Anolis sagrei: one gene and its partners. The protein of the gene in region 3 purifies or fractionates together with the protein of the main gene of each other region. This does not show direct contact. Links are inferred from orthologs where the notes say so. Each region holds a gene or a part of one and is shown on either strand. Other genes may lie near its edges.

Region 1 (7,284 bases), about 81 Mb from region 3:
CTCTCCGGGAGAGAGAGTGGTGCAGAACTCTCCGGGAGATGAGCTGTTAGGACCAGGGGCTGAAGTGGAAAGCCTTGAGGGTGTACAGGACATGCATTTTGAGACACTACAGACTGAGGAAGGGCTTCAAAAGGTCTTGGTGCTGAGGGGTGCAGGTGGGGAGCAGACCCGGCTGTGTGTGCAGGAAGTAGAGGATATCCAGACTGTACAGGAACTTCCTGGCCTTCAGGTGCAGGGTTCTGAGGGTAGCTCAGGGTCTGGGCAGAACCTTCTCATCATTCGCAGTGCTCAGGGAGAACAGACTCTTCAAGTGTTAGAGAGTGTCCCTACACTGCAGGTGAGCAGTCCGGACAGCACACAGCCTTCCCTCGACAACAACAGCACTTCCCAAATGGTGCAGCTTCTGCAGAGTCCAGTAACATCCCAAGGCCTGCCCTCCATTCAGATAGTTCAGGCGGTGCCCAGCATGCAGCTTGTTCACACATTCTGAAAGTGGATGTGTCTCTGCATACGTTGTGCTAGTGCATCAGGTCTCGCAAGTAAGCAAAGAGGAGCAGATCCGGTCTACCAGTTGCTAGAATCAGTGCTGCTCAGGGTGGATTCTCTCTAGGCAACGGATGGGATTGACATCTCTCCCAGTGAGCTTGGTTTAGGTTCTTCTCAATGAAGTCTTTCTCCGCAAAAGCATGCTCATGGCTGTTCCCCTGACTGCTCATGGGTATGCTGCTGCTTCTACTGCCCCTGCAGCCACAGTGGTATCCTCTGCCCAAGCACTTGTATACCCCTATATTGCATGAAAGAAAAGTGTAACCTGATGAGCACTCTGTCTGCCTCAGATCCACCCCTGCTTCCCTGTGCTTGAAATATTTTGTTCTGCAAAGATCTAAATGTACATTCAATGTGATGGTTAAGACAGCCAAGACTTTCATGTTTCTTGCCACATAAAACAGAAAATGTGATCTGTGGGAAGCAACTGCATGTCTGGCTTCTCTCACATTTCCTTTCCATGTCACAGCATCAGACCAGAATGCTCTGGAACATTATGTAATGGTGTAAACTCCTTTTATGTAACTGAACAATGGATCGTTTTGGGGTTTTTTTGGGGGGGGGGGGGAGGTCTTCCATGGGGTCTGGATGCGGTGAGGGGCAGTTTCATAAATTTGTCACAGGCTCCATTTCCCAGTCATATGGTCATTTTCACTTACGTCCTTCTTGTCTGTTCTTCCCCATTCCAGCCCTATCTTCACCATATGGAGAACCACTTTTCTCAGTGGATCTCAGTTCCTGGTGCTAACAAACACAAGCAGGCCACAGACTCTTTTGCCCAAGAAGAAAAATAAAAGACTGATTTGAAGCACTTTTGCCTTTCTTTCAGTCCTGTTCTTGAATGTATCATGGATGGACAGGGTTCACATCTCTAATAATACATGGGTTTCTGCTCCCTTAAAATCTGAGGTGTTACAGAATCAATTATATCAGTTTGATACCATTGTAGCAGTCTGCTCTAAGTAATCCTTGGATTTGTAGTTCAGTGAGGGACTGAACTGCAAGAGAAGACTAGTGAATTTGGCTGAAATCACCATTTTGTGGATTGCTGTGTAGGTGAGTATATTAAGAGAATTGAGCTACAGTATTCACATTGATCCGTGAATAAGTTGACTGAGTTTTTTTGGAATGTTTTGATTAACATTTCTAGATTTATATCAGTATATAGGGTAACCAAATGTAAAATGGTATCTCAAAAGTCAGAGCAAGTTATATCTTACATACTCTACATTGGGATAATTTGCATATGCAAGCAGAAATCTCAAAGCACAAAAATGTGATTAAGGTGACCAACTCAAAAATATTTACAGGTGAAGAATACTAAGGTAAGCAATTACTGCAAAGCCAGAATATAATAAATGGTTTTTAAAATTGCAGTTCTACATGGTATTAAGGAACATGAGCTGTTGCAAATAATACATATTTATCTACCAGTAAATCCTGATCTGAATGTACAAGAAAACACCAGAAAGCAGGAGTGTTCAGAAATGCTTCAGAGAATGGTATGTACGAGATGAAAACTCCACGATATGCCTCAAAGCAGCAAAAAGGAACTTTTTGGCCCTTTACATGTTTTTTCCTATTGCACCAACTGGTCACGTACAGTGCAGGCAATGGTAAGGAATTGTATTGTCTTCATATAACTTCACTTGTTCCAGCGGTGAGTCCAAGCATAGGAAAAGATGGAGGGCGGGGGGGGGGGGGGGGGAGAGTCCTTTTGGCTCAAATTAAGTCCTATAGGCATCCTTTAATTTACATTCCTTCCAGATTTAAGAACATAACCTAGTAATTCAGGTTTTCCTGTTCATTTCTGTGCTTATTTTGGGTTTTTCCCCCAGCAGTAGTTACTATCCCATTACAACCCACAGCTGGCAGCTTATATTAAGCCCAATAGTTGAAGTGGATGCAGGTCTTGGGCTTTTGGATAGCTATTTTGGTGTGGCCAGTGGTTTCTGGCAGATCAATTTTAGGTCTCAATAGCTTATGGTCAATTCAGGAAACGTGTCAGCATAACGACTACATTTCATGAAGTGCAGCATGGATGCAGCAGACTTTTTTCTGAAAACTCCAATGTCAAAACCTGGAGTGGCCGTTCCTATTTCTGGCTGGTTAAAAATCTTGTGTTCCTCATTTATAAATAGTATTTATTATAAAGCACAGTCAGCCCTCCATTTGCTGAGTTGAGGGGCACAAGATCCTTATGAAATTGAAAAGCCACACATTTTAAAAATGATAATTTCTTACCTGAGAGAAATTTTCTGTGTCCCCTGGCATGACTCTGCTCAACCTCTACTGGAAGTTGTATATAGCATCACATTGGAGGATCTAGATATTCATAGAAATAACATTTTTATCAAACCTATGAATAATCAAATCTGCAAAAGTTAAAACCACAAATGTGAAGGACAGACTGTACTGACTCTTCATTAAAAATTAGGGGAAAGCACATTTAGAGGAACAACACTTAAACCAATTCTCCTATGGGCTGTGTATGTTATGCAAATGTTAAATGCGACATTTCGGAGTAAGGTAACATCTCACAGATATGAGCAAGATGGGGTAAAGCATAGTAGCCGCTTCTGACATTACCTTTTTTGCATGTCAGATTTCCACAAAGTAACTTTTTAAGATACCAACATGAATCACTACCTGGTTCTGGCCACAGGAGGGTGCATTCAGACCATACAGAGGCAATGCTAGCTTGCTTGCTTAGGTGATCCCTTGTAGCCCAAGGATTATGGTCCTCCAAGTCTTAGTGGTGGGTCCATAGGTGGCTGTGGAGCCCTATTCTTGATCCGCATGTTCTTCTGCAGTGTGGACATCAATTACAAGGAGGAAGGCAGTCCTGGTCAGGGTTGGCTTGACGCATCTTCCTCTTGACACGTTTCTTCCTTTTGCCCTTCATTTGTGCTTTGAATTCTGCAGCACTGCTGGTCACAACTGACCTCCAGTTAGAGTGCTCAAGGGTCGGGGCTTCCCAGTTCTCGGTGTCAATGCCACAGTTTGTTTTTAAGGTTGGCTTTAAGCCCCTCTGTAAATCTCTTTTCCTGTCCACCAACATTACATTTCCCATTATTGAGTTAGGAGTATAGTAACTGCTTTGGGAGATAATGATCGGCCATTTGGCCAATGTGGCCAGTTCAGTGAAGTTGATGACATAGGAGCATTGTGCAGCTCTTTAAAACGTTTAAATCACCTGCAGAGATTTGATTTTTTAAGGGACATAACAAAACTGGTTGCAGATGCTAATGCCAGTGCCATGTTTTTCCCCCCACAAATATTTTGAACCACATCTTCAGAGGTTGTGACAAACTATATTCCACACAGCCATATAATCCAGAATATTATGGCAGATAATCCACAATATGAGTTGTGGGGTTTTCAGGCTGTATGGCTATGTTCTAGAAGCATTCTCTCCTGAAGTTTCGCCTGCATCTATGACAGACATCCTCAGAGGTTGTCAGGTCAGGAGAGAATGCTTCTAGAACATGGCCATACAGCCCAAAAAACCTACAACAACCCAGTGATTCCGGCCATGAAAGCCTTCGACAATACAATTCACAACATCTTCTTTGAATTGGGTTATCTGAGTTCACACTGCCATATAATCCAGTTCAATGTGGATTTTATACAGCTGTGTGGGCCTTCATTTCAACACTTTCAGCGTTCTCTCCTTCTCTACCATAAAAGGGAATGCTTGACAAGTGCCAGCTACTACAGCTAAGGCTTCACGCAGCTCAAGAGGCCTCGTTTCGTCCCCGTAGCAACTGTTACTAAGGTACAGAAGAGCGCGAGAAGCCGGAAACGGGGCGCATGCGCACACCGCTAGAGCACACCTGCTGCAGGGCGAGAGCGGTCGGAGTGAGAGGGTCGGCACCCCCCTCCCTCTTTTTTCCCTCTCTCTCTCTCCATGGGGGCGGGGCCTTCGGGAGACTCTGGGAAATTCCATGTCGCTCTGGAGGGGTGAGAGCAGCTCCTTTCTGCAGGCTGGGTGAGTCCATTGTCCGGGGAGGGGGGAGTGTGAAGGGTTCTGTGCTAAATCGAGCGCTTCTATTTTTGTGCAGGGCGTTTTGTGGTTGTTAATGGGCCATATTTTGCAAAGTCGATTTATTATTGCAGAATGGGGTTTATTATAAAATTGCAATTTCCCATGGTAGTCCTTTATTTTATTTCATTCTCATCCACTAGCATTGTTTATTGGGGGGGGGGGGGGGAATCCCCTATTTTGGGCTAATGCTGAGCTGTCTGCACAAAGTGATCATAACTGTAAATAAGCGGATCCAATGATTTAAATATAATGCATACAGGATTATGCAATACCATACATTTTGAGTATCTCTTATCCTAAAATACTCCAAAATTGCCCATGAGATAGTGATGCCTTTGCTTTCTGATGGTTCAGTCTAAAAAAACTTATTTTATTCCACAAAATTATAAAAAAATTTTTTCTTACCTTTAGCCTATATGTCTAAGGCATATGGAGCCTGATTTCCCAAGATATTTCATTTTGTATTTGCAAGTATAGTAGACTCTCAATTGACCGCAACTCAAGCAACTGCTAATAATAATAATAATAATAATAATAGAAATACTTTAAGTATGCAAGCATTTTTAGAATACAGTAAAACCCTGTTAACATAAGTTTGTCTTTATTTGTCTTCATTTGCTTTTAATTACTGCCTTTTAGTATTAAGATGAAAGTCAATGCAGAGTTTATGGCGTGATAGTAGTATGGGGTATAGTATATAGGCCTATTTTTAATAGTAACTCTCAATCAACTGCAACTACATTTAGCCAGACAGCTACCAATCCCCGTGAGTTCCAATTAACTGAGAGACTACTGTAGAAGTTCCCAACCCTTTTTTGACCATGGACCACTTGTCCAAGGACCACTTTGACCATGGACCACATGACCAGGGACTACTTTGACCAGGGGCCACTTTGACCAGGGAACACATGACTAGTGACCACAAGCTCTCCCCTTCTAACATGCCCGTTGCATTGGCACTATAAGGGGTTTTCGTGAGACCAGTCACTCTTGTTGCCACGTGATTTCGAGGCAATGGTGTAGTAATGGTGAGGCTGCATACCATATTTTCATTCTTGTGGACCACAGGTGGTCCATGGACCACAGGTTGGGAACCACTGGTCTACTGTACTGCAAAATCTGAAAAGATCTAGAATTCAAAGCACTTCTGGTCCCAGTGATTTTGAATAAGGGATACCGAACCATCAAGTTAGCATTGCATATATTCTGTTTCACATTACTTTTCAAGATGATCCTGTGTGGTCAGTGCTCCCAAGTTAAAAATCCAAAAAAATAAATAAAATTATTTGTCCCAAATTATTTAGCTAAAATATTCACTTTTCAGCTGTACCTGTTTAATACGTTCGCAATACAGTATGTATTGTGAAAAGTATTAAATACAGCATTAATTAATTTGAGATGTTTTTGTTAGCATTTGCTCACCTCTCCTAGAATTCTATGCATTTCCATAGGAAAATAGATAATAAAAGGGTGAGATGTTGGACTGGTAGTCTTTCCAATGTAAGAGTATGTAAGATAGAGTTACAAGCTGGGTAGATGCAGGGAATGCCGTGGATGTAGCGTACCTGGATTTCAGTAAGGCCTTTGACAAGGTCCCCCATGACCTTCCAATGTGGGCTAGGCAAAACTACGGTGAGGTGGATCAGTAATTGGTTAAATAGACGAACCCAGAGGGTGCTCACCAATGCTTCCTCTTCATCCTGGAAAGAAGTGATGAGCGGAGTGCTGCAGGGCTCCGTCCTGGGCCTGTTCAACATCTTTATTAATAACTTAGATGAAGCCAATGGGAGGCTCTTTCTTCTTCCATCTCAAATTTTCATCAACGTGGTCAACATTTCTTTCCTTTCAGGTGCTGTTTCTGTTTGCTGCCAGCATGCCTACACTGGAACCTGAGCAACTGGCCATCAGGGAAATGAGAGAAGAGGAGGCACCAATGGTTTTGGAGCTTCTGAAGGTGAGATGAATTGTTTCACCTACATCTTTTCTTTTCAGGGATGTCTGGATTGTATGCCCAGGTAACTGCTAGGTTGACAGAAGCTGGGCCTAACAGTGGGAGCTCACCCTGCTCCCCAGATTTGAACCACCAACCTTTCAGTCAGCAAATTCAGCAGCTCAGCAGATTAACCTGCTGTGCCTCCAAAGGGGCCTGGTTCTTTCTTAACTCCATGCAAATTGTAAGAAAAGGAATGGGTGCCAACCCTAGGTAGAGAAGGCGCAGATCCGTAGCTTGGGGGTCCTCGTGGACTCAATGCTGTTGCTTGATGCTCAGGTGTCGGTGGTGGCTGGGAGGGCCTTTGCACAACTCAAACTTGTGCACCAGCTGCTGCCTCGTGAAGTCTGACTTGGCCAGGGTGGTCCACGCCTTGTTTACATACAGACTGGACTACTGCAATGCACTCTATGTGGGGCTGTCCTTTAAGACGGCCCGGAAGTTTCAACTGGTACAATGGGCAACAGCCAGGCTCCTTACTGGAGCAAACTATAGGTAGCATACAATACCCTTATTAAAACAGTCTCATTGGCTGCCGATAAATTGCCGAGATAAATTCAAGGTGCAAGTCATGACCTATAAAGCCCTAAACGGTTCAGACCCCGCCTATCTCTGCGATCGCATCTCCTTCTATGAACCGGCATGAACTTCTGGGAAGGCCCTCCTTTTGTTCCCACCACCATCACAAGTACGGTTGGTG
Region 2 (7,160 bases), on a different chromosome or scaffold from region 3:
CAGGAAGGAAAAGAGCATCAGAGGGACTGCGTGTGTGAGAGAGAGACTTAACCATAGATGTGGGTGAAATGTCAGGAGGGAATGCTTCTGGAACATCCCTTCCTTAGGGTTTTGAAGAAGGAGGTAAGAGGGAGCAGCAGGATTTCTCTGGGAGATAGAGGAAAGAATTCACAGAATACTGGCCTCTTAGAAGATGGGAGGGGAGGGAGAAGAGAGAGAGAGAGAGAGAAAGGATGGGTTTCAGAGACATTTCACAAGCACATGGAATTCTTTGGTGAGGTCTGGTTCTTAGAGAGAAAAGGGGAAAAGCAGAGAGAGGGAGAGAGAGAGAAAGAGAGAGAGAGAGAGAGAGAGAGGGAGAGAGAGAAACCCAGCAAACTTTATTTGGCAAAAGGAAACAGGAGCAGGAAAAAGGTCCCCCCCCCCCCTTTACACCTCCCTTTGTTTGCAAGAGGAGAGAGGGAGGAGGGGTTTGAAAGCAAAAAGGGGGAGTTGGAGAGTGAAGAGAAAAACAAAGGAAAGGCAGGGACATTGGTGACTGCCCCTGAAAATGGGTTTTGTAGTTGCACAGAAGAGAGGGGGAGAGGGAGAGAGCTCTTGGTTCAGGGAAACCAGGCGAGAGAGAGAGACTTTTGCAAGGCAGCTGAGTCACATCAGTGGCAGGGTCTCTCCTGGTGAGGGGAAACACTGTTTATTATAAATAAACAGGCACTGAAGATTCAGCTTTTGAAAGAAAGGGATGTAGTGGCTTGGTGAAGGAGGGAATGAGCAATGCCTCCCTTTTCCATCTGAAGGAAGGAAAAAGGTGGCACAGGAGAAAGCAGGAGAGGAGGAGAGCAAAGAATTTCCCTGATCATTTCCTCAAGGAGCAGAAAAAAAACAACAAACAGAGGGGCATATAAATGCAGACATATCATAAATAGGGAATAGGGAAATGGAGGGGTTGGGAAGGGAAGGAGGGAGTCAGGGAGATTGGGTAAAGGGAAATGGGAATGGGATGGTAGGGGAATAAGCAATTTCTTCCAAAGGGAGAGGGTGAAGGGGTCTGGAGGGGGTTTCCTGGGGGTTGGGGCTCTGTAACCTTCCCCTTGCATGGTCGGAGTTGGTCGCAGCTACCCCCCTTCCGCCTCCCACCGGCACATGGTAAAAAAGCATGAGGCAAAGGCGGTTTCGGCCCTCTTGGCCCCCTCACAGCGATCCGACTGCCATGAGGGGCCACGAAACTCCACCTGCTGAGGGCCCGGAGGGCCACCTCTCCATGCGATTTTTTTACCCTACTGGCCTGCGTCGGCGACGCAACCCTGCCCCATTCCGCCAGTATCTTCCCAAAAGATGTTTCTGATGAAGCAGGACGTTTGATCCCAGAATAACATGCGCCCATCTCTCTTGATAGCCCCACACTGAAGTGGCTAATCAGGGTAGCCCCCCCAACCGCTGGCAGGCTAGAGCCTGAACGGTCCCCTAGCAAGAGAGCCCGAGGCGATCAGCCCTTGGCAGCTAGGCAGTCCGAAAGGGAAGGGCTCCCTCTCCAGCGTAGCTCCAGCCAAGGCCGCAAAAGCGAGCTGAGTTGCTATTCTAGGCCTCAAACGTGGATGTTCGCTACCTCCCGCCAGGAATTTGTTACCGAGACCTAGAGAATCCCTCCCCAGTGGGCCGACTCCGAAGCTGGTTCAGAAAGCCTAGAATCCCCTCCCACCTGGCAGCCAAGGCAGCCCGCGGTTGGCTTCTTACCCGTCCGGACGTTTTCTTCCCCCCTTTCCGCGTCGGTCGCTCCTCTTCCTGGAAGTCCTTAGATCAAGGCTTCCCTGGCGCTCCTTTGTGCTGAAACCCTAGGTCAGAGCTTGGGAGGAAGTGGCTGCGGGAGAATTTGTAGTTTTGGTTAGCTGGTCAAATGAAAGTCCGAATTGGGAGAGGCGCCTCTTTTCCCAAGCCGTTCCTCCTTCGCTGCTGGCCCAAAGAATCAGACCAAGGCGCCTGCTTGAGAATTTAGGCTATAATTTAGTCTGGAACCTCAAGCAGCAGTCCCTTCGTGGTAAAGCCAAATGATATCGAGCTCTTTTGGGGGGTTCTCCCAGCGAGGGGAGACCCAAAGGACCTCGAATGGGGTCCTGACCTTGGCGAGCGGCCAGCGGATGCCAATTCAAAAAAACGCAAAAACGTTGAAAATCAATCTCGCCAGAGGCTGAAGAGGCAATCTGCGACCGAGGCGTTTATTTAGCGATTCAGCTGAAAAGGATGCATTACAGGGATATTTCCTCTATAAGCATACAGTACAGTGATTTTCAGGCATATTTATACAGACAGAACAAAGGAATCCTGGCTTGAATCTCCCGCCCGCCTCCTGTCAGTCCCCTCTGTCCTGGTTGGCCGGCTCTGGAACAGCTGGGAGGAGGCTTGGCCGCTGGTCCCACCCTCCCTCCAATCGCCGGCCGCTGTTGCCTCCAGAGGGCCAATCAGAGCCCTCGGAGCGCCTCCAGAGATTGTCCAATCAGCGGCCAGGAGGCGGGCTCTAGTTTGACAGCGCAGAGGGGCGGAATGCCTGGGAGGCGTCTGCCAGCTGATGGAACACCTTTTATCTCTTCACGGCAGGGAGGCGGATGGGGAGAACAAGGGATTTCCTGGGTCCTGATAAAAGATGTGTATAGGCAAAAAGGGTGGCTATGGGTGGTGTCTGGATCTTCAACCTTGTGGGCAAAGAGATCCTTTGTCACAAGGGAGCATGCACAAACACCACAATTGGTGTTATCAGTCTGTTTTTCCGGGCTTTTGGCTGACAAAATCTCTGGCTTTTGTTTGTCTGAACTCTGAAAAACGAAGCCATAGATTTGCCAGTATTTTCCATGCAATGTCAATATGAATGGAGTTCCTTCCAAGGAAATTGGATTTCCTTAACTGTAATCCCCTGGTCACATATTCTTTTATAGGGTAAAGTTCAAGAGGGGAAAGGCAAGGAAAGGGTGAGGGTGCACCTCATTCCATTACATTCCATATTACACACACTTCATACATATATTCTTTACAGTCTTTCATAACTCATAGATTTCATGAAAAGGGTCCCCATCCCCTCCCCATCCCAGCAAAGTTTATTAGAAAACCCACAGCAATTTAATAAAGGCAATCAGCAGAGTTCCTGAGGTATGATCCTTTGCAACAAGGGCATGCACCCACAGGCGGGGGCCATGCTTCTCAAGCGGCTTGGTTTGGAGTTCATAGAGGAAGTCCGTGACGCTAGGGCACCAAGTCAGTCAGAGAGGGCAGAGAAAGTCCTCAAGGAATCCGCAAATGGTGGAGAGTGGGGCAATGTCCTTTGGAGAACTACATTTCCCTGATCTTTGGGCCAGGGTCCAGTGCACAAGCCAGAGAATTCACAGAGAGGAAACAGGAACCCAGTTATGTGTGCTGGGTCAGGAAGCAGCAGAATCCATTGTCTGGCCCTTGGCGAACTACAAATGCTTGGGGGGGAAGATGCTCTGCATCAGGTTGCATTGCAGCAGGTGGTCAGTGGTTTGCTCTTCTCCACACTCGCATGTCGAGGATTCTACTTTGTAGCCCCATTTCTGAAGGTTGGCTCTGCATCTCGCGGTGCCAGAGCGCAGTCTGTTCAATGCCTTCCAAGTTGCCCAGTCTTCTGTGTGCCCAGGAGGGAGTTTCTCATTTGGTATCAGCCATTGGTTGAAGTGCTGGGTTTGAGCCTGCCACTTTTGGACTCTTGCTTGCTGAGGTGTTCCAGCGAGTGAACACACATATATATACATACATATATGTCATCAAAAAATCATTGTAGTAAAGTATGAAATAATAGTTTATAATATATTCTCACTTGAGCAGTGGCTGGGATTTTCAATGAATGATATTTTATATAATTTTAAAATGCTGCTTTATGACAGGAAGAAAAACACTTATTGGAAGGATAAAAGTCTGTTTGGTGAAGGCTTGAAGGGAAAAGATAGGTGACGTTTTGTTTTCCTTTGAGCTCTTGAGTCTTCGGCGGCCATCTTGGTCCCGGGCTGGGACGTCACGTGACAACGCTGAGGCTTCGGCGGCCACCTTGGTCCCGGGCAGTCAAGCGGCAGTGCCTCCTCTCTCTGGGCTGAGGCAGGGAGGGAGGCAGGTCACGTGGCTGGGGGGGGAACCGCTTCTGATTGGTGGAGCCTGGGAGGTGCCTCTCACTCGCCCTGCCCTGTTGCTGGGCTGAGAGGATGTAGCGGCGGAGAGCGTCTTCCCTCAGAGCGAGTCTGGGCTTGCTTGGTATTACTGCCGCTGCTGCTGGTGGGAACCTCCTCGCCGGGATGAGAAAGCGGAACGAGTCCGTCACGTTGGAGCATGAGCCTCTGGAGAAGGGCTTCAGCCTGAGGACGAGCCTGCGTTTGCCGGGCAGCGACGGCATGAAGCGGACGCTCGGCAGGTAAGGCTTCAGAGGAGAGAGAGTGAGTGAGAGAGTGAAGGCCGCGTTTCCACGGCAACGGGCGGCCCACTCGCTGTTCTCTCTATCCCCCCCCCCATCATCCGGGCCCTCGGGTCGCCATGGCAACCGTCGCATCGCCCCTGCGAAATGCCCTTGGCGCTGTTCTGATAATGGAGGAAGGACCATTCTAGGCAGGATCCGTTAGGCGATGGAGTCCTGCCTGAAAGGGCGGCCGGGCCCCTTCCTCGCCTTTTGCCGCATTGCCTTCGCCGACTGCAGGCCCAGGAAGGGCTGCCTCAGGTGCGCCAGGGGGTGGGTCGGCGTCCAGGCCTTTTCCCCCGTTGCCTTGATTCTTGCTCTGGCTCTGCCTCATAACAATTGAACGGGCTTAGGCCAGAGCCAGGACTGGGCCAACTTGGGCCCTCCGGGTGTTTTGGACCCCAACTCCCACCATTCCTAACAGCCTCAGGCCCTTTCCTTTCCCCCCTCAGCCGCTTAGGTCGTTGTCTTCTTCTTCTTCTTAGTATATATATATATATATATATTTGTATTATTATTAGCATTATTATATCTTTGTGGAGGTGGGGACTGGAGAACGGACCAAAGTTTGGAAGATACAATCATATAGTCTGGACCTAAGGCATATAGAACTTAATAAAGCATAACCGACATTTTGAATTGATTGTCGAAGGCTTTCATGGCCGGAATCACTGGGTTGTTGTAGGTTTTTCCGGGCTATATGGCCATGTTCTGGAGGCAATTCTTCTCCTGACGTTTCGCCTGCATCTATGGCAAGCATCCTCAGAGGTAGTGAGGTCATAGAATCATAGAATCAAAGAGTTGGAAGAGACCTCATGGGCCATCCAGTCCAACCCCCTGCCAAGAAGCAGGAATATTGCATTCAAATCACCCCTGACAGATGGCCATCCAGCCTCTGTTTAAAAGCTTCCAAAGAAGGAGCCTCCACCACACTCCGGGGCAGAGAGTTCCACTTCTGAACGGCTCTCACAGTCAGGAAGTTCTTCCTCATGTTCAGATGGAATCTCCTCTCTTGTAGTTTGAAGCCATTGTTCCGCGTCCTAGTCTCCAGGGAAGCAGAAAACAAGCTTGCTCCCTCCTCCCTGTGGCTACCTCTCACATATTTATACATGGCCATCATATCCCCTCTCAGCCTTCTCTTCTTCAGGCTAAACATGCCCAGCTCCTTAAGCCGCTCCTCATAGGGCTTGTTCTCCAGACCTTTTATCATTTTAGTCGCTCTCCTCTGGACAGGTCTACCTCACTACCTCTGAGGGTGCTTGCCATAGATGCAGGCGAAAAGTCAGGAGAAAAATTGCCTCCAGAACATGGCCATATAGCCTGGAAAAACCTACAACAACCCATTTTGAATTGAGCCCAAGACCAAACTGGATAATCTTGGGCATAATTTATTTATTTACTTCATTTCTATCCCGCTCTTCTCATCCCTCAGGGGACTCAGAGCGGCATACATCATACATCTAGACAAAAATTCAATGCCTCATTATACAATAACCATATAAAACATAACAAAATCACTAGAAACAATAAGCATATAAATACCATTTAAAACTGTTGTACACATTAAACCATAATAATGCCATGCCTCTTAATTTAAAACAGGCCTGGGCAAACTGAGGCCCTCCAGGTGTTTTGGACTTCAACTCCCACCATTCCTAACAGCCTCAGGCCCTTTCCTTTTCCCCCTCAGCCGCTTAGGTCTTCTTCCTCCTCTTCTTCTTCGTATCATTCTTTTGTATTATTATTATTAGTAGTAGTAGTAGTATTATATCTTTGTGGATGTGGGGACTGGAGAACAGACCAGAGATAGGAAGATATATCTTTGTGATAGTCTGGACCTAAGGCATATAGAACTTCTTAAAGCATAACCAACATTTGGAATTGAGCCCAAGACCAAACTGGATAATTTTGGGCATAATTCATGCCTCTTGATCTAAAGCAGGCCTGGACAAACTTGGGCCCTCCAGGTGTCTTGGACTTCCAACTCCCACCATTCCTAACAGCTTCAGACCCCTTCCTTTTCCCCCTCAGCCGCTTAACAACACATTAGTCACATTCCTCTATGTATAACATTAGTCAAGCGAATTATTATTATTATTATTATTATTATTATATTTATTTATACCCCGCTTATTTCTCCTGAAGGGGACTCAACATATTCAATGCATATTCAAGTTAAAACCATAGCACTTCCTGACTTGATCTTAAAAGCCTTCATCTTTGAAAGCTTGCCTGAAAAAATGATAGTTGGAGAACACATACAAAAGAAAGAAGCTTTCTCACAGCTATAAAACATTTTGATAATCATTTGCCAATTTTAGCACTTATCTACACTACAGTTCCCACATTTTTCTTTCTCATGGTACTGAAATTAATGTTGATTTGTTTTTTTACCTATTTAAATATTTAACTTCCATCAAATATTTATGCCCTGCTTTGTCAAATGTAAAAAAAATGCCATCCCATCAGATTCATGTATGTTTCTTCATTGGATTATTAAATTTACACAGATTGCAAAGGATTCTAATTTTTCTGGATTATTCTTCTTGAATTTGGATAGTGAATATTTTGTAGATGTTTATGTACAGGTCTCTGTGTAATCTTCAAAAATCCTTTAGTTTTGTCTCATTTAAGTCCATGCAGGACATATTGGAAAGTTTCTCAATGTATGAGAACACGATTTTAATTTAGTGAAGGCTTATTGGTTTCTTTGTGG
Region 3 (7,005 bases):
GATTTCTTTTTAGCTGCATACTGTGAACACTAGAAAAATTCAATGAAGACTGCTTATTACCGGTGGAGTTAACATGCTTACAAACCAGTTTCCAACATTCAGTAAGGAGAATTTATGAGCTACTGAACCAAGGAAGCCATACACAGATTCTACTCTAGTATTGGAACATCTAGGGAAGGGCTGTCAACCTTCCTCCTTCTAGGTCAGTGGTTTTCAACTTTCCTAATACCACGACCCCTTAATACAGTTCCTCATGTTATGGTGACCCCCAAACTTTAAATTATTTCTGTTGCTACTGTTATGAATCGTAATGTAAATATCTGATATGCTAAATATATTTTCATTCACTGGACCAAATTTGGCACAAATACCCAATATGCCCAAAATTCAATACTAGTGGAGTTGGGGGGGGGGGGCGCGATGACAACTGATTTTGTCATTTGGGAGTTGTAGTTGCTGGGCATTCTGAACCCCACTAATGATGGAATCCAACCAAGCTTGGCACACAGAATGCTCATGACCAACAGAAAATGCTGGAAAGGTTTGGTGTGCCGTCGCGCCTGGGGCTATAGAGAAAGAGGCATGGACGTGACTGCTTTCCCCAGGGGATTGCTTTCTTGCCCTCCTTTAGGGAAACTGGAACTCCCAAGGACCAGAACACAACAGTTAACTCAAAATGATGTTTATTGTTAACAGTTCTCTTTCTTTGACACAAACTTTATGTTTCAACTGGGAAAAGATACTTTATAAACTCTAAGTCCAGGGTCCCAGGAGTAACAAGCTGAGAAGCTTTTCCTGTTCCCTCTCTCTCAATGGCTATGGATGCCGGAGCAAACCACAACCCCAGTTCAGTGGCCTAAGCTGAAGGACAAGACCTTCCTATGGTGCCACAGAACCGGTGTGAAGGCGCCTGAGATCTTCACAATTCTATTCAGGGTGGTCTGAACATAAAGAATAAGACTCAGGGAAAATAAACCTAAGAACTGATAGTAAAAAATGCCTTGACCAGGGGCTTTTGGGCCAAGCTTTTGGACACGTCCATCCAATGAGTCTTTTACTGAGGTAAAAAAGGTGAGGGAGAAACCTTCCCTTTCTCCCTTGGAAGGGGCGGAGCCTAAACAACTGAACTGGGGAAACAAACCAATTGGTGAACAACAACAATAAATTGACAGCTATAGTAACCAATGAAATTTAACTATACATGTACAAGGTAGACAGAAATAAAATGGCAGTTTAAAAATCCTGCAACTAACAGTTCCAAATAAATGAGGCGCCACACGCGCCGTCACATTTGGTGTGCATTGACCTTGAGTTTTTGGAGTTTTCGTTCACCTACATCCAGAGAGCACTATGGAATCAAACAATGATGGATCAAGACCAAACTTGGCTTGAATTCTCAATATGTCCAAATGGGAGCACTGGTGGGGTTTGGGGAAAAGACAAAAGACCTTGACATTTGGGAGTTGTAGTTGCTGAGATTTATAGTTCACCTACAATCAAAGAACATTCTGAACTTCACCAATGATAGAATTGGGCCAAACTTCCCACACAGAGCCCCCATGACCAACTGAAAATACTGTGCTTTCTGATGGTCTTTGGTGACCCCTCTGACACCCCCTCATGACCCCCCCCCAGGGGTCCTGATCCCCAGATTGAGAAACGCTGTCCTAGCTTATTAATAAATGGCTGCTTCCATCATAGTGCAGATGGGAACTGTTGTTCAGCAAGTTCTGGAGAGCCATGGATTCCCTCACTTTGATCCTTGGGCAGACACATGATGACACTGTAGGATGCTGAGATGATGCAATGGAGTTGCCAATTTCAAACTACCAGTAGGTTTTCAGAATGCTGCATTGTGGAAGGAAGAGAAGTAAGAAAACTGGGGGAAACAGTTCTATCCCTGCTTTTTTCTATTGATTTTTGTGTTTGAAAATACATAGGGATCATCTTGTACAATTGAAAATACCACAACATTCTGCTGCATGTGTAGAAAATGACAATCTTTGCAGCTATTGCAGTTTAAATGTCCCCCCTCTCTCACAAAATTGCAAAGTTCAAGAAATTACTAGAAATAACATTTTCCCATCCCTTTCTTTACTTTGGTCCAAAAAAGCTTTAGAGGAGTGGGGATGGGACAGCTTTTTTCAGCAATACACAATGATTTGTCATAAGAGGATATTTGGGGAAAATGGAAAATGCCTCAACAACTTAAATGGCAAGTGAAGCTGTTAATATTACTACTAACGTTGTCATGCCATTGCATATCTGCAGGATCATTTTTCTGCTGGTCTGTTTCTGTTTGTTTTGATATTCATTTTATACTATATGTAATAATTTTATTGCCTTGCTGAAAGTAACACCATGCAAAGATATCATCCTGCCCCCCCCCCCCGTAAACTTAATGTCAAAGTTAACTGATGACAATTCAAACAATACAACATACACCAAATTTATTTGAGGATGCTACAGAAGACATTATTACCGAACCTGCCCTCTATCCCATTACAGTATCGCTGCCAGATGAAAATGCAAACTACCGTACTTATTTTGGTTAGGAGGTGTCACCTATTTTACATTAAAAAATCTTAGAAATCAGCATCTGTACAGCATCCATGTCTGGTATCCAGTTCACGCATCAGACCTGCAAACAAATGTAGGTTTTCTTGCTTAATAAAGCTAAGCTAAGAGGCTGTGGGGAAAAAAACCAAGGTAATGAAAGTCTGCCAAAGCAGCACTTGGCCTACAATCAAATGAAATGTTAACACTGTGTGGAGCCTGTGATGGTTTAAAAAATGCTTTGAAATACTTTGAAAGTAAGCCCAATGTTAAGAAAGAAGTTAGCAATAGGAAGAAGGATTAGAAGGAAACCTCACTTTTGCATTCTTTCCTCTTACCTTCTGTGAAGGGGGAGGGGGAGGATTGTATACCTTTGACTCTCCAGTCTTTTGAATCCCACAGAGTGTTTTGCTGCCGGGAAGTCCAATGTTTTTAAAATTCCTTGATGGTGCTTCACAAGCTGGAGGATTAGTTTATTTCTGCTTCGAAAAGTTTCTGGTTGCTATGGGGAAGGCTGCACTTTAAGGTAACAATGGAGGTGGATTGACATTTGTACCAAGCTCTTCCTGGCAAGTTTTAGAAATCACATTACAAAACATGTGCAGTTAACTATTTTAAGTGTATATGTTATGCTAATATCTCTTAATCAAGCAAAAGCTGATACTTTTAATGCAGAAATGAACAAAAAAGTTGATAAAATCAACAGATTTGAAACTACTGTGTCTCTCCTATGTTGCAAATTGTTTTCTCTTGTTTACAACTGAAAAAAAATGTTTGAAACTATTTTCTGTTACTTTGTGGAAGTAGATTCCCCACCCACATTTTAAGGAAGGAAACTTTAGAGAGGAAGGGTACTCTCTATATAGTTGGTGCTCCCTATCCATAGATTCTGTATGCATGGATTCAATTATCTTCTGTTCGAAAATACTAAACAAAATACCCTTAAAAGCAAACCTTGTTTTTGCCGTTTTATTTGGGGATCACAATTTAACCATGCCATTGTATATAATGAGACTTGGGCATAGATTTTGGTATCCATGGAAGATCTTGTTTCCAAACCTTAGCTGATAGTATACTAAGGGCCCACAGTATTAGATCTTCTCAAATCTCCTTAATCAGAGAAGATTGTGTGTTCGTGTGTTATGTTCACTGGCCAAGAGGTCATACTATCAATTTTGGTTTCAATTGATTAGCGCACCACCTAACGTTAACCATCAGCTTTGCTAATATAAAGTTTTGGGGCTTGTATTGTGGTAAGTGGCTTGGGGCAGGGTATGCCATCTTGTTGTTTGCCTCAGGTAGTTTTGCTCACCCTGAGACTAAATAAAAATAAAGGAAAATAGATAATTTTCCAGTATGGTTTTGAAATTGTTTAATTTCCAGTGGACCTAATATGAAAGTTGATTATATTTATAGGTTTGTGATGAAGGCTCTGAATTAGTGGAGATGTGAATTCACTGCAGATTTTTGTTTTAAAGGAACTTCTCAAGGTACCAAACACTATCTATCCCATCAGGCCCGTAGCCAGGATTCCGTTTCGGGGGGGGGGGGGGGCTAAAAAAATTTCAGGGGGGGGGTTGGGGGGGGCTGAGTTTCGGGGGGGGTGAGTCTGAGTGAAAGAGGGTCTAGCCTAGCAAACCTTTAGTATCATTACCCCAATACTCCCATACATATGGGATATATTGAGAATGGTGATCAAATCATGATATTAATAAACATAACAGTTTAAATAATGCACCAGTAAGGCCTTTTCACGAACCACCATGAGAATTTCGGGGGGGGGGGGGGCTGAAGCCCCCCGAGCCCCCCCCCCCCCCCCGGCTACATGCCTGTATCCCATGATAGTTTTCCTCCTCAGGTTGCTGACCTAAAAACTTCTATTTGGGATCCTATCATGCACTTAGCCCCCACAATCCATTCACTGGGTTTAGCAACTGACTATAAAACTGAACAGCCAAATCTGTTTTCTGCTGAACTTGTGATAGTAATTGCTGAACCCTGTAACTCCTTTTATAACAGGCTTCTAGATAGAGATGTAAACTGATATAAGAAGGAAGATTTATTTCAGAAGAAAAGATTCAAACTTCAAGCAGCATGTAAGTTGACCCTGTGTTTATTTCAGTATCACTCTACTATCTATTTAAAAGTTTTCCCCTTAAGCCCTTACTCAACTCCTTACATGGTCTTCCTATTCACCTCTTTATATGATCCCATCAGTTCCCACTAAATCTCTGTTTTGATCTCTCTGCCTCCAGTTTGTGAACAGCCAAGCCTCTCCTTCTATATGTTCTCTCTTTGCCCCCATTTCCCTCAGCATTCTAAGAATCATGATTATTCAGCTCCACTCAGGTCACACAGGCAAATTTGTTAAGCATATACACAAACTCAAAATGAAGTCATCACCCCACAGACATAAAAGCCACCAGACTGCATTTATAGTTTTTTTTAAGACAACTAGTGCTCCTTCACACAAGGTTTTCTGTAAATGTAAATATACTTATGACCCCAAGGACTCAGTAAACTTGCAGGAGGCACGGGTACTATTGTTTTCAAGTGGATGCAATAGCTTGATAAGGTAGCCGGCAGTAGGAAAAGGGGAAAACCACATTCCAGATGGATACACTCAATCAAGGAAGCCATGGCCAAGTCTGCAAGACCTGAACAAGGCCATTAAGGATAGGGTGGCTTGAAGGTTTCTCATTCATAGAATCACCGTAAGTTAAAGTTGACAACAATGGCTGTAAACTTAAACACTTCTGATTGGTACAACTACACGACTACATGACATTTTGCCAGATTTTCAACTATCTTTAAGTATCTGATGGTTTGTTATGTAGAAGATGGATTCAAATTATATGAAGAAGTTCCACCTAAATATTAGGAAGAATGTCCTTACTGCCAACTCTCCATCTTTGGAGGCCTCTAAACATAGATTGGAGAGGCATCTTTTACGAGTGCTTTAGTTGTATGTTGTGGATGGTGAGGGGTTGGAGTGGAGTAGATGGTTCATGTAGCTCTTTCAAACTGTAACTAGTTCCTCAAGGGATAGTTTCTCAGGGAGCTTAAATAAACAGGACGCTTGGTTGTTATAATCCTTGACATCTGTACTCCGCTCAGGGCCCATATAAGTATAAATACAAATAAATAGAATAAGAAAAACATAGATGAAGCATTCCAAAGCAAGTCATGTCTTTCCAGAGTGGCTCCTTTTTTGCCACTTTTAGTAACTGAACAATATGAGAATATTAACAAGATTTGTCAAACTCTGTCCTTGGCTAGCAACAGAAAGCCTTCTTTGTGTACTGCCTGCTCAGCAAAAGAGCTTAGCTTTATTTAGAGGGTGGCGTGGGAGATGATATTTTAATGATGCCTCCCTTGGTAATGTGCAGATTTCCAATAGAGACTCACAATTGCTGTTGCTGATCCAGTGAATAACTTCTTTGGATGAACTTAGTAAATGAGCTTTGAGCCTTCTTAGTAAGCACAGCTAATATGAAGAACAAAGAAATGAACCTGCACACTTCAGATATCCCCTATGCTATCAGCGTGCCATGTGCATATCTCTTATAATTAGATCCATGGGGACACATTATTACTGGAAGGATCTATTCCCCACACAAAACAAAATGATGGTGGAGTGCATGAAGCAAGCCTGCCAACTCAGAAATGATGCCATAAATAATACGAGGGTTTAGAAGCCACATGCATAAGTACAAAGCATATACAGTGTGACCCACATATCCATAAGACTAGTATGTGTGGTTTCATATATTCATGTTCATCAAAATATATCTTCCCTGGGCATTTTAGGTCCTAAGTGTGACTCTATGGTATTATTGATCTGAAAGTACTTCATTTCAATAGAGTTTGCTATTATCTGTGGCTTTCCATATCCACACAAAGGCCAGGAATGTATCCCCCATAGATATGTCAGATTAAATCTTCCTCCCCCAACCAGGAAATTGATTTCAATTTTGAAAATTGCCATAATTGTCTGTACAGTGGATCTGACCTCTTTTCAATGTTTTTGCACATCACTGATGTGAGTGAACATATGGAATTCATCTCTGCAAAATCTGACTGCATTGGTCATCATCACACAACTGAGTGATTCATGTGTACATGAAAGTGATGTCTGTATATGAACATGGAATTTTGGAGGGAAGCAGGTATATTGATACTAGGGGCCATAAAAGCCCTGGGTGGTAAAGAAATATGGGCTTTTGTCCTATTCAGCAATTACAATATCTTAAAGTGGTCTTGTGATGTCATAACTGCTAGACAGCAATCCAACCAAAGCATTTCTAATGTACTTGAGATCAGAGAGATGGAAAATGATGTTCATAGTGACCTCCTAGTCATGGGGTGCTGGTTTATGGGGCCAGGGCCTGTTGTGGCAGTACTCCAAGTGGTCTTTAAAGAAACGAATTATATCTTGCCCCCAATTAT

The links.
Region 1: the proteins of SLC39A12 (region 3) and NAT14 purify together in Homo sapiens (co-immunoprecipitation; 3 studies listed by BioGRID and IntAct, counting the BioPlex papers as one, with this or other methods). This does not show direct contact. The link is inferred for Anolis sagrei from reciprocal best matches to the Homo sapiens genes SLC39A12 and NAT14.
Region 2: the proteins of SLC39A12 (region 3) and ABHD12 purify together in Homo sapiens (co-immunoprecipitation; 3 studies listed by BioGRID and IntAct, counting the BioPlex papers as one, with this or other methods). This does not show direct contact. The link is inferred for Anolis sagrei from reciprocal best matches to the Homo sapiens genes SLC39A12 and ABHD12.

What each region holds. Positions count from the first base shown.
Region 1 is NC_090026.1:25,166,156-25,173,439, forward strand, and holds the start of NAT14 (probable N-acetyltransferase 14), read left to right. Parts: upstream 1-4,215; 5' UTR 4,216-4,537; intron 4,538-6,443; 5' UTR 6,444-6,467; coding exon 6,468-6,548; intron 6,549-7,284. Other genes in the region: ZNF628 (zinc finger protein 628), read left to right, coding at 1-490. UniProt on the Homo sapiens protein: Probable acetyltransferase. May act as a transcription factor that regulates the expression of coproporphyrinogen oxidase by binding to a promoter regulatory element.
Region 2 is NC_090021.1:21,791,685-21,798,844, reverse strand, and holds the start of ABHD12 (lysophosphatidylserine lipase ABHD12), read left to right. Parts: upstream 1-4,134; 5' UTR 4,135-4,289; coding exon 4,290-4,405; intron 4,406-4,568; exon of another isoform or gene 4,569-4,613; coding exon of another isoform or gene 4,614-4,705; intron 4,706-7,160.
Region 3 is NC_090026.1:106,344,470-106,351,474, reverse strand, and holds the start of SLC39A12 (zinc transporter ZIP12), read right to left. Parts: upstream 3,057-7,005; 5' UTR 2,895-3,056; intron 1-2,894. UniProt on the Homo sapiens protein: Uniporter that promotes Zn(2+) import from the extracellular space to the cytoplasm across the cell membrane. The transport activity is temperature dependent. May play a role in neurulation and neurite extension.